Rattus norvegicus: one gene and its partners. The protein of the gene in region 2 purifies or fractionates together with the protein of the main gene of each other region. This does not show direct contact. Links are inferred from orthologs where the notes say so. Each region holds a gene or a part of one and is shown on either strand. Other genes may lie near its edges. The genes, in order: Snrnp70, Strap and Tgfbr1.

Region 1 (3,651 bases), on a different chromosome or scaffold from region 2:
GAGACCATGTCTCAGAACCTCATACAAATAATAACAAATACCACTATGCACTACATGTGGGAAAATTCTGCACAAAGTTTCACATAGGCTAAAATGTCTCTCCATCTGAGTGAAGAAGGCTCATAGTTTATTATTTATATTAGTATCAACAAATCCATACACCAGAACAACTGACTTGTTTCTGAGACTTCATTCAGCACAGCACAAAGTCTCAAGAATTCACCCTTTTTAAAAGAGAACTGTGGGCCCCTGTGGTTGGGGTGGGAGGTTAGCACTGGCGCACAGGTGCAAGCAAAGCCAGGTGATGCTGCCTGAGACAGAGTGAAGCACCAGGACAAAGACCTAACCCAGCTCGGGCCTAATCTGAGGCATCAGCAAAGAGACTGACATCTGTCTACAGAGTGAGCAGCAAACTCTCAAAGTCCAGCCTCAAGGTCTTAATGAGGATCTACTGACATCACAACCCTTGGGACTGAGACAAGAGCCTCAGTGGTTAAAGCTCTTCCAGAAGTCCTGAGCAACAGTGTCCACACAGACATAAAATAAATAAATTAAAAAATTAAAAAGACCCTCAGATGCATTTCAAGACTTGCCACAACAACCCCCATGGAGATAGCCCATAACCACCACAAAGAAAGTGAGGGGACAGATGCAAGATCAGAGCACAGGCTGCTGCTGCTCTCTTGCTTCAGGTATGAAGCCAGGAGCTGGGCTGGTGACTCAGCTAGAGAGTGAAGAAGCGAAGCCATTCAGTGAGAGCAAGAGCAAAGCTAGAGCCAGTGATTCTCTCCAACCCACCCCATGATACCAAGTACACTGGGCATAAGGTGGCTGAGGTCAGTGTGGAAGTTTCCAACACTGCACAAAAGCTGCTGCTGGTCAATCACTCATGCAGGGAAGACCAGGGCATGCTTGGGTGCTCATGTGTAGGTGTCTGTGTGCACCAGCGTCCAAAGCCATGAAGATGATAAGAAGACAAGCTGGAAATGGAGGAACAGGCAGATGGGTTGGGGAGACTGAAGAATAATAATCTATATTCACAGGCCCAGGTGCCCCGAGGGCAAATGCACTCACCTAGCCGCCGGGGCCTCCAGCCCTTCACAGTCCGGCCCCTCTCCACATCCACGAGGACCCTCCTGCCATCTATCTTCTTGCCATCTGCGTGCTTGTAAGCGGCTGCAACAGATGTGGGGGAGGGGGAATCCCCAGAAGGTCCTCTAGTCAGACAAGGCTCCATACAACAGCATCCCTGCCCCTCAAACCACATCTGCACACACACACTCACACTCCCACCAGTCAGCCAGGCAACCAACAGCCAGACAGCCCTCTCCCCACCCTGAAGGGCCTGCTCCATCCAGTGCCTGATTCCTTTCGGGCACCCCCAAGTGCTATTGGGGGGCAAACCATTCACCCTGGCCTCCCCCAGCTTTCACATGATGGAGCAGCCCCCTCCTGCCAGGGTGGCCAAAGTTGCTGCAAAGAAACTGGAGGTTAGCTGAATGCTGGCCTCTGCTGTGGGGAGGGCTCCTCCACACCCAGGCATGCACCCTAGACACCATGCTGGGCAGGAGGCTGGCTAGGCCCCTCCACACCCAGGCATGCACCCTAGACACCATGCTTAGGCAGGAGGCCCACTGGGCCCCTCCACATCCAGACCACACCAGGTTTTTTTTTGTTTTTCATTTTTGGTTTTTCTGTGTGTTTTTATAGGGGAGGTCAGTGTGAGGAAACAGACATCAGAACAGAAATGAACAGGAGTGGAAAGACCTTTAGGAATTGGCAGGGATACAGGTGGGTGCTGAGCTCCCCAGGGGCCTCCAAGGACCCTGGCTGGACCCAGAGGGACATGTGCCGTGCTACTCAAAATCCCTGCCTTACCTGAGCCGACTGACCCTGCCACCACCTACCCTGGCCAGCTCTGTCCTCCAAGTCGAGGTCAATGGCCAGCAGGGCCTGCAGCCCAGCCTGAACCCTCAGGGAAGTTGAGGAACATAAGACATAGTGGGATGGCCCAGAGTCCAGGCCTGTGATCAGGCAGGGCTGTTAAGAAGGCCAAAAAGTCCCTGTCCAGGTCCCAGTCCTGGCCTAAGGGGCTGTGCTCACCAACCACAATACCCTGCCCCACCCCTGCCCACTCCCCCCCAATAACAACCAGAGGAAGAGAAAAAGGTGCCATTTACCGATGCCGGCCTTGCGGGTGTCCAAACCGAGCGGGATGGGGGGGGCCGGCAACTCCTGGGGGCCTGGCGAGGAGGCGGGCTTCCCGGGGGTGGGGTAGGGGTTGGGACACGGGACTGCTTACCTGGAGACCCCAAGCTTACCTGAGTACTCATACAGACCCCACACCCACCACCATTAGGGCAACTAAAGCTACAGGGAACCCTGAGAGGGAAAGACTACATTTCCCACATCATCTAGAAACACATGGATGAAGGAAAAAAGGGAGCCTCAGAATCTGAGGGATGATTTGCACCTGGGCTGGGAGACCTGGGTCTATCTATCCTGCCCAACCTAAACAGTGGGCCTCAAGGCCTCAAAAACACCTACTGCTCACCACTGCCTCAATCACCTTCACTAGGTACAGGCCCAGCACTCAATACTAGGGTCAGGTTCTCCATCTCGATTCCATGTGCCCTCCCACTAGTGGCAACAGCTCTGAGGCTAGCACACAGGGGACACACCTGGGATCCAAGAAAATGCTTCCCATGCTCCAGGAGGGGCCAATCGGCCCCTAACCCCAGAACAGAGTGAGAGGGGAGGGAACTTAAAAGACTTCAGTCAAATACAGGAACCCTGCTTAGGTTCCCCATCCCAAACCCCAGATGTCCAACCCAGAAAACAGCAAGAAGACCGTGTAATTGTGTCAGTCTAGGCTTCTCTCTCTTTCCCTCTCTTCCGCCTCTGTACAGATTTAGTAAAAAACTACCACACCTTCAATTGTTTTAAGGCCTGCTCCACCCCTCCCATACCCTGAACCCCAATCCATGCACTTTGGGGAGCTCAGGCACTGGACATCACAGCTGCCTTCTCAGGAGGCTCCCACCACACCAAGGAAGACAGGAGGGACACAATACCCCAAACTAGAAATCAGACTTTCCTAGACCACTATGGTGACAACTCCACAGAAGTCACAGGGCAGGGAGGGTTGGGCTGAAGGGCTCCACATAGAGCCCTGGTCCCAGGACACCCCAGCTTTAGGATTACCAATATGACCCAGATGTCAGAGGCTGGGTGGAGCCCGACTATGGAGGCAAATGCCTCTCCCATCGAGGTCCACCCTTCCCCTTGGGATCAGTGAGATTACCAGAGAGAATGTGGATGGGGGCAAGAGGGGTGGAGGGCACCCAAATGAGGAAAGGGCTGTGGGTAAAGGGAGACTGAAAGGTGACTAGGGTGGGAGGGGAAGCCTCGCTGTTCCTAAGCTGCCTGGCTAAGCTGGGCTGGTGTGCGGTGCTGTGATCTTACCCATGATACAAACCCTTATACCAACCATACACTGAGGTGTTGTAAGGGGAGCGTAAGCATCAGCTGCAAGCCAGCTGCGTGGTGGCTGCAGTGACAATAAGAACAGTCAATTAATACGGCGGCCCCTGGACACGCCGCAGCCCTGCCCACCCCCACCCACCCAGCCCTACCCGAATGGACGCCGCA
Region 2 (2,525 bases):
ACACTTCCTCTTAACAGTCACTGTGAGTCTAAAAGAGACATCTAAAGCCACCTTTAGTACAACAGTCACTCTGGGATTAGTAATAAGTATTTGGAGTTTTTGTTTGTTTGTTTGTTTGTTATTTAAACTTAAAAACATGTTTTCAGTGGTAAGGATCAAGTAATACTATAAAAAATTGAATAGATACTTGTAAATTCTTCATACTGCCTTCTAACAAGCTTTATTTTTATTTTATTTTATTTTTTTATGTATGCTTTTGAACCCCTGGGCCATCTCCCGAGCTCCTTTGTAATAAATTTTGCAATCAGTTCATTCAATTCATCACATAAAGGTCATTGCTCAGTTAGCAGCATGATTTCACTTGCTTATGCCATATGCAGAACTCAAAGTCTAAAGGCAACTGACACAGTGCAACAGAACTAGTGAAGGACACACAGTCTCCGCAGCATAATTTGGTAACGTTGAAGAGACGTCCTCACCAGGAAGCACGCATTTCCACAGGCCGTAGGTCTTTCCAACCACAGTTTGCCACAATCTCAGTGTCCCATCTTCAGAACCACTGGCATAGAGTTCACCATCGGGACTGAATCTCACACAGTGAATGGGGCCAAAGTGACCTTTGTAGGATTCTGAAAACAGTGAAGAGTGGGGTTATCAGATTTAAATACATGCAAAGCTAATTATTAGGGTAAATAGCACTGTACTAGAAGAGATACTGTCCGTCTGTACTGCTGGGGATCATTTCCCTAGAATTAGCCCTTTCCTGTCCAATGTCAGAGGCAGCCCTGTCAACTTTCACTGATCCACACAGCTCTTGTCTGGAAGCCATGGGATCTGATGGCCTGAAAGATGGGGTGGACCAGTCTGATGCTGTGGACAATGCTATCGCGGTTTCAGTATACAAAATGCAGCTGAGGGGAAAGAAAGGCCTCTGACTTTTTCCTGCAGACTCTCTCAGGGTCCCCTGAGAGACCCTTAGTATTATTCACTATGAGTCACTCTTTTGACCGTGTCCCAACACAGACTGTCTTTCAAAAGTGGAAAATGAAGTTTCATGTCCCACTGAGAATTGAGAAGCTGTCAATAAAGACTAAATTCTAGACTAGAGCTCAAGTCTGTGAACCTTACCCCAGTGTCCAGGTCCTGAACTCACCCTGCTTTAGAGCCGATCCATCCATGCCTGCAGAGGGCCAGCAGATGGAGCTCTTTACAGACGCCAGCCCCTGACTCCCTAACCAGGCCATCTATCCGGCTTCCTAATTCCACCACAGTGCTGACACAGGTTCAATCCTGACCCCGCATTTTAATACCGGGAATGTAGTGATTGGGAAGGTTTTTCTACTGCAGGAAAACTTACGAATCTCTCATATATAATCTTATGCCTCTCCATCTTATTCTGGAGTTTCCTCCATCTCTGACTAGCCAGGGAATAGAAGCATCTAAGAGTAGAGGGACCAGGATGGAATATTTGTCTATCATATACAAACCTCCTGGATTCAACCCTCAGACACAACCCCAAAAGTTCCATGAACAGACACTGGATGAGAACAACTGTATCCAAAACCCACACCTATCTATCTCTCCTCTGAACACAGCCTGGATCATCAACGCTGAGCACCTCCTCCGCCCCAGCCCAGCCACAGTTCTCTCAAGCCGAAAAAAACGGACATGTGACTGAACATTCTATAGAACTGACTTAAGCAACCCCGGTCCACCAGTTTCTCCCAAGAAACAAAATAAAGCCGTTTCTTGCTCTTTGTGTATAAATCCAGTGAGTTAGCTCTGTGGGTGGAAAACCAGAATACTTAGATACAGGTAAGAAGAGACGCCAGTTTACAGACAGAAAGGGAGATTTTTAAACTAAAAGCAAAACACAGTTGGACTTGGTTAGGTACTAAAAATTGTGCTCTCTGACCTATCTAGCATACTTACTATTCTACACATGATAAAGTTAGGATGTTTCTGCTTCAAATTAATCATACATCAGCCATTCTACTTCTTAAGAACTATTAAACTAATAATAATATATTATATATATAAAATAATATATATTACATGTCAATATATAACTCATCTTAATATTTTATATATTACTATATTAAGTTATACTTTAGTTTCGATTTAAATTATATTAATTACTTTATGTTAAAATAAATTAAATATAGTAAATATTATATGTTATAATCCTATATATATTACTCTTTGTAAAGGGTCCTTGTTAAACCAATGATTCCCCCACCATTCTCTAGAGACTTAGGTTGAAGAAAGGAGGCTGGGTAAACAGGATTATATACCTGTTCTCTCCTTAGAAAGAACAAAATACCCTTGCATATGTTTCATATTTGACTTGAAATACAAATATTCCATCCCAATAAAGAATCAAAAATCAGTGAACTACAGAACATCAGTGTAAAGATAAGACTCAGATAAGAGGAAATGAGTTCAGTCTTGTCAGAGGGTCTGTATTTCTATCAAAAATGGATAACACCTTTGTTTTTGAAGGTATGAGTTTCCAGTTTTAGTTA
Region 3 (4,222 bases), on a different chromosome or scaffold from region 2:
CACAAGGCCCAGCAGGTCATAGCTTCTTTTTTTTCTTTTCTTTTATTGGATACTTTTTTATTTACATTTCAAATGTTATCCCCTTTCCTGGCTTCCCCTTTGGAAACTCCCTATCCCATCCTCCCTCCCCCTGCTTCTATGAGGGTGCTCCCCACCCACCCGCTCCCCTCCTGCCTTCCCACCCTGGCATTCCCCTACAACACTGGGGCATCCAGCCTTCACAGGACCAAGAGGCCATAGCTTCTTAAACTGAATCCTAACTCCTTATAGAGGTGCTGGGTCATACAACAATCTGGCAATACTCAAGGACTTCTGAATGTATAACACTCCAAATTAATTAAAAATCAAATGAGTAATGAATCTGAAGTGTTTCTGGCAATGCATGCTTGTGTTACATGATGCAACTTCACAACACCCTTGGTTCTAAACACACTTGCTGTCGTGTTATGCAGTGCTAACATTTATTTTTATAAGTTTTAATGTTTTTTATTAAATAAAAAGTTTTCTATTCTTCCAGAAACATACATACAGAAAAGGCTTTCATCCTTCATGTATATCAAAGTGGTATATTTGTGATCGATTGTAGATCGACTGTATTGTGTTAGAATGTCTGATTTTAAAAACTGCTGTTTAAGTTGCTGACTTAAATTTCATTTTAAAAATTATTAAATGAGGTCTGGAGAGACGGCTCAGTGGTTAAGGGCATCGACTGCCCTTCCAGAGGTCCTGAGTTCAATTCCCAGCAACCACATGGTAGCTCACAGCCATCTGTAATAAGATCTGATGCCCTCTTCTGGTGTGTCTGAAGACAGCTACAGCATACTTATATAAATAAAAAATTATTAAATAAATTTCATCTTGTGATTAAGAGAGAATTTTCAACAATGTCTGAAATGGCCCTAAACAATTATATGGAGTCGTTGGCATTGGATGATTTAATTCTTTAAGTAAAAATAAACTCACCCATCTCATTACTATGAAAATGTGCTTGAATCTTTAATAAATAGTAAAATTGTATGTACCAATGAATTGTTTTAAAATAATTTCATTTATGATCTATTATCAGCACATCTGAATTATATACTTGCTTTCTACATTTTGTACTCAAGGTCACGTACAATCTTTTGAGAAAAGAGGATGGCAAACGGGGAAAGTTTATGAAGTACTAGTCTAGGTTTTGAGTAATAAAATCCTCCAGGACACGGACCAACCTTCTCAGCATCTAAGTCAATACTGCTAAATGCATGAACGTGTCTTGCTTTGTTTTAGGTAGAAAAGAATTACTTTATTCAAATAATTGTAGAGATATGGCCACTTATAGTTGGTGAATAATTATAACAATTCCCCCACTTTGTCCACCGTTATTCCCTTCCTAAGCCAATGTCAAAAACCCATGGTATCTTCTAATGAAGACCTTTGTGAAGGGAATGTTCAAGTACTAGGTTGTTCAAGTTCAAGTAAACTAAGAAACTGATGGCTAAGTTCTAAGTGTCAAATATCAACTGTTCTTTAAGTGGGCTATGCTACGGTATAGCAGGTGCACTGATTTTGAGCCCAGAAAGGCCTAAGTACAAATTAATTTCTGCACTTACTAAGAACGTAATCTCCTGCACCTCAGTTTTCAAGTCAATGTACAGGACAAGTACTGGTAGCCCCGAGGGTTCTGTGCCCCGAGATACTGTGCCTTTTACATCTGCATTATAATCAACTCCCAATAAACAGTTACTATTAAGTTTAATAACAGCTGGCATCCACAGTCTGGAGAGATTTTTGTTTTGGTATGCTTTGCTTTTTAAAATGTTATCCAATTTCAGCAACAGACATGTATTTTCACTGTATTTTAGTTGCTAATCTGAGCCTCAGTATTTTGCTTTCTCCTATTTTAATCGGTTCCGGACTAAGTTTTTCAATCTTCCCTCCACGGGGTGACAACCGTATCACGGCCGGTTTTAATATTTTGGAAAACTACACATTTTCCCTTCAAAAGCCAGCTACATAGAGGTCTGATTTTAAGACTACTGCTTAAGGAAACGATACACCCAAAGCAACGATCCCGTCGAGAAAAAGAAATCTTTGATCAATTCTACAGAATCATTCCCATTCAAACGATCCCAAGTCTGCAGAGTGAGCAAACGTTCAAGTTTCTACTAGCAAGGCAATCTTCTGGTTACTGAACTCTCAACTCTTCCCAGACGCACGAAGAGAGAACATTCCGCGCATCTTCGCGCCTGCTTCTCACACAAAGCCCCCGGTTGAAGAAAAGTCGCCCTAGGCGGGCGCCGACACTCACAGCAGTGCGGCCCACCCGGGATCTCTGCCCACGGCGCCCCTTACGACCCTCCGAGGAGCCCTCCACGCGCCGAGCCCCGGAGCGCCTCCACGCCGGTGCCCGCCCACGCCCTAACAGTCTCAGGCCGGAGAGCACTTAGGCAGTGGAATCAGGGGGCCACGGTCCCCGCCGGCCTCACACCCCCGAGGGCAGCCACAGACCTCAGCAGGCTCGCCAGCCGCTGCTCCCGGGAGCCCAAGAGGGCAGGCCTCCGCTCGGTGTTCGGCCACCCGCGCTCGACACCGCCCCCGCCCCGCCTCTCCTCCCCGCCCCGGCTCGCGTGGCGCCTGCCGGGTCAGGAAAGCTCGGCCGGCCCGGCGCCGCCACCTGCGCCCCCGGCCCCGCGCCATGTTTGAGAAAGAGCTGAAGCGAGCCAGAGGCCGGGCCCGGCTCGCGCGCCCCACAGCCACCCGCCCGCCACTCACCCTTCGCCCCCGGGAGCAGCGTCGCCGCCGCCACCAACACGATGAGAAGCAGGCAGCGACGCAAAGCAGCCGACGCCGCCTCCATGGTCCCGCTGCCACTGTTTGTGGCCCGGCCCGGCCCCGGCCTCAGCTTCTCCTCAACAAGCCTCGCCTCTCCTCGCCCCACCTCCCCGCCGCCGCTGCGGCCTCGCTCCGGCCCTTTGTAACTGCTCGAGGGGCGCACGCCCATTGGCTGCCCAGCTCCCGCCGACCCCGCCTCCCCCGCCGCCCGCGAGCGCCCTAGAGGGACCCAGCGGAGAGCCCCGCCCTCGGGGCCCCTGGGCGGCCAATGAGCGGCCCTGGACTTCTGCCTCTAACCACGCCTCCGCACTGCTGGGCCTCTGGCCACGCCCCCTCACCGCTGGGCGCCTATACTCCAGCCACAGCAGGGTAGCTCGTACTCTACCGGCGGGTGGGGGCAGGGTCCAGCCTGCGCGCCCGAGGGAGCCCGCAGTCCGGACTAAGCGCTGGGTGTGCCCGTAAGAGTTGCTCAGGGAAAGACTGTGGACGTTGCTCGCTCTTTTCTTCTACTCCAACCCCACCCTGACTTTCCCTGCACAGTCCTGCACCGGCAAAGCTCAACTATCGCCACTCCGACCCTCAATACGGTCCGCGGTTCAACTTCTTCTCCCTAGACCCGCTCCTCAATTCCCAGCCTCCCCGCAAAGATAACCCGATTTCTTCCCGCACTCTATGGCCGCCCCAGACCTAGTCTTGCCCTCCTCAAATTCCAGTCCCAAAGTCGGAGCCCAGATTCTGAATCCCGAGGCGGAGCTCAGACACACCCCTGAGTGGCCTGTGTCTCTCGGCAGTATAAACAGACTGTGGGTCCCCGCCGCTCTCCTTCCCTCCCACCTTCCTGACCCCGCGTGGAAGCGGAGAGGCCTACGGGTTTTGAATGATGGGGGATTCGGGGCGAAGCGGGAGCAGTCATAGGTACTTAGAGCTGTCTCCGACACGCCTGTGTAATAATTTCGAGGTGTCACTAAAAACCCAAATAAACTCAGCTCCGCTTTCATTCTGAATTCCTAATTTACTGTGAGACGCTCCACCCACCTTCCCTCTGGGATGCCAAAATGAGCTCCAGATTTGTAATTCTTCCTGTCAGACTAGTCCTTTCTTCAGACACAAACACAGTCACGGAGGCGGCCGCATGGCACCGACAGCATTTTTCCGCAGAACCTTTTAAGGAGAAAATTTTATTTTCTGTATGATTTGAACTCGGAATTAAATGAAGCTCGGTAGTAGGAACCAGCCGGCCTCTAGTATCTGTTAGTAAATTGTTTTACAGCCACTCTCCAAGAGTTTGATCCTGCTTATGAAAGCAAACCGTGGGGGTTAGAGCTGGGGTCTGAGACTGCTTCTCGGCTCCAGCTAGGACACGCTTGAGCAAGTCCTAACCTGCCAGAACCTGAACAGGCCTGCTCTC

What was found.
Region 1: the proteins of Strap (region 2) and Snrnp70 purify together in Homo sapiens (affinity purification with mass spectrometry; 3 studies listed by BioGRID and IntAct, with this or other methods). This does not show direct contact. The link is inferred for Rattus norvegicus from reciprocal best matches to the Homo sapiens genes STRAP and SNRNP70.
Region 3: the proteins of Strap (region 2) and Tgfbr1 purify together in Homo sapiens (affinity purification with western blotting; 3 studies listed by BioGRID and IntAct, with this or other methods). This does not show direct contact. The link is inferred for Rattus norvegicus from reciprocal best matches to the Homo sapiens genes STRAP and TGFBR1.

Annotation. Positions count from the first base shown.
Region 1 is NC_086019.1:104,995,710-104,999,360, forward strand, and holds part of Snrnp70 (U1 small nuclear ribonucleoprotein 70 kDa), read right to left. Parts: intron 1,177-3,651; coding exon 1,075-1,176; intron 1-1,074. UniProt on the Homo sapiens protein: Component of the spliceosomal U1 snRNP, which is essential for recognition of the pre-mRNA 5' splice-site and the subsequent assembly of the spliceosome. SNRNP70 binds to the loop I region of U1-snRNA.
Region 2 is NC_086022.1:172,387,237-172,389,761, reverse strand, and holds part of Strap (serine-threonine kinase receptor-associated protein), read right to left. Parts: intron 630-2,525; coding exon 480-629; intron 1-479. UniProt on the Homo sapiens protein: The SMN complex catalyzes the assembly of small nuclear ribonucleoproteins (snRNPs), the building blocks of the spliceosome, and thereby plays an important role in the splicing of cellular pre-mRNAs.
Region 3 is NC_086023.1:66,448,097-66,452,318, reverse strand, and holds the start of Tgfbr1 (TGF-beta receptor type-1 precursor), read right to left. Parts: upstream 2,922-4,222; 5' UTR 2,840-2,921; coding exon 2,755-2,839; intron 1-2,754. UniProt on the Homo sapiens protein: Transmembrane serine/threonine kinase forming with the TGF-beta type II serine/threonine kinase receptor, TGFBR2, the non-promiscuous receptor for the TGF-beta cytokines TGFB1, TGFB2 and TGFB3.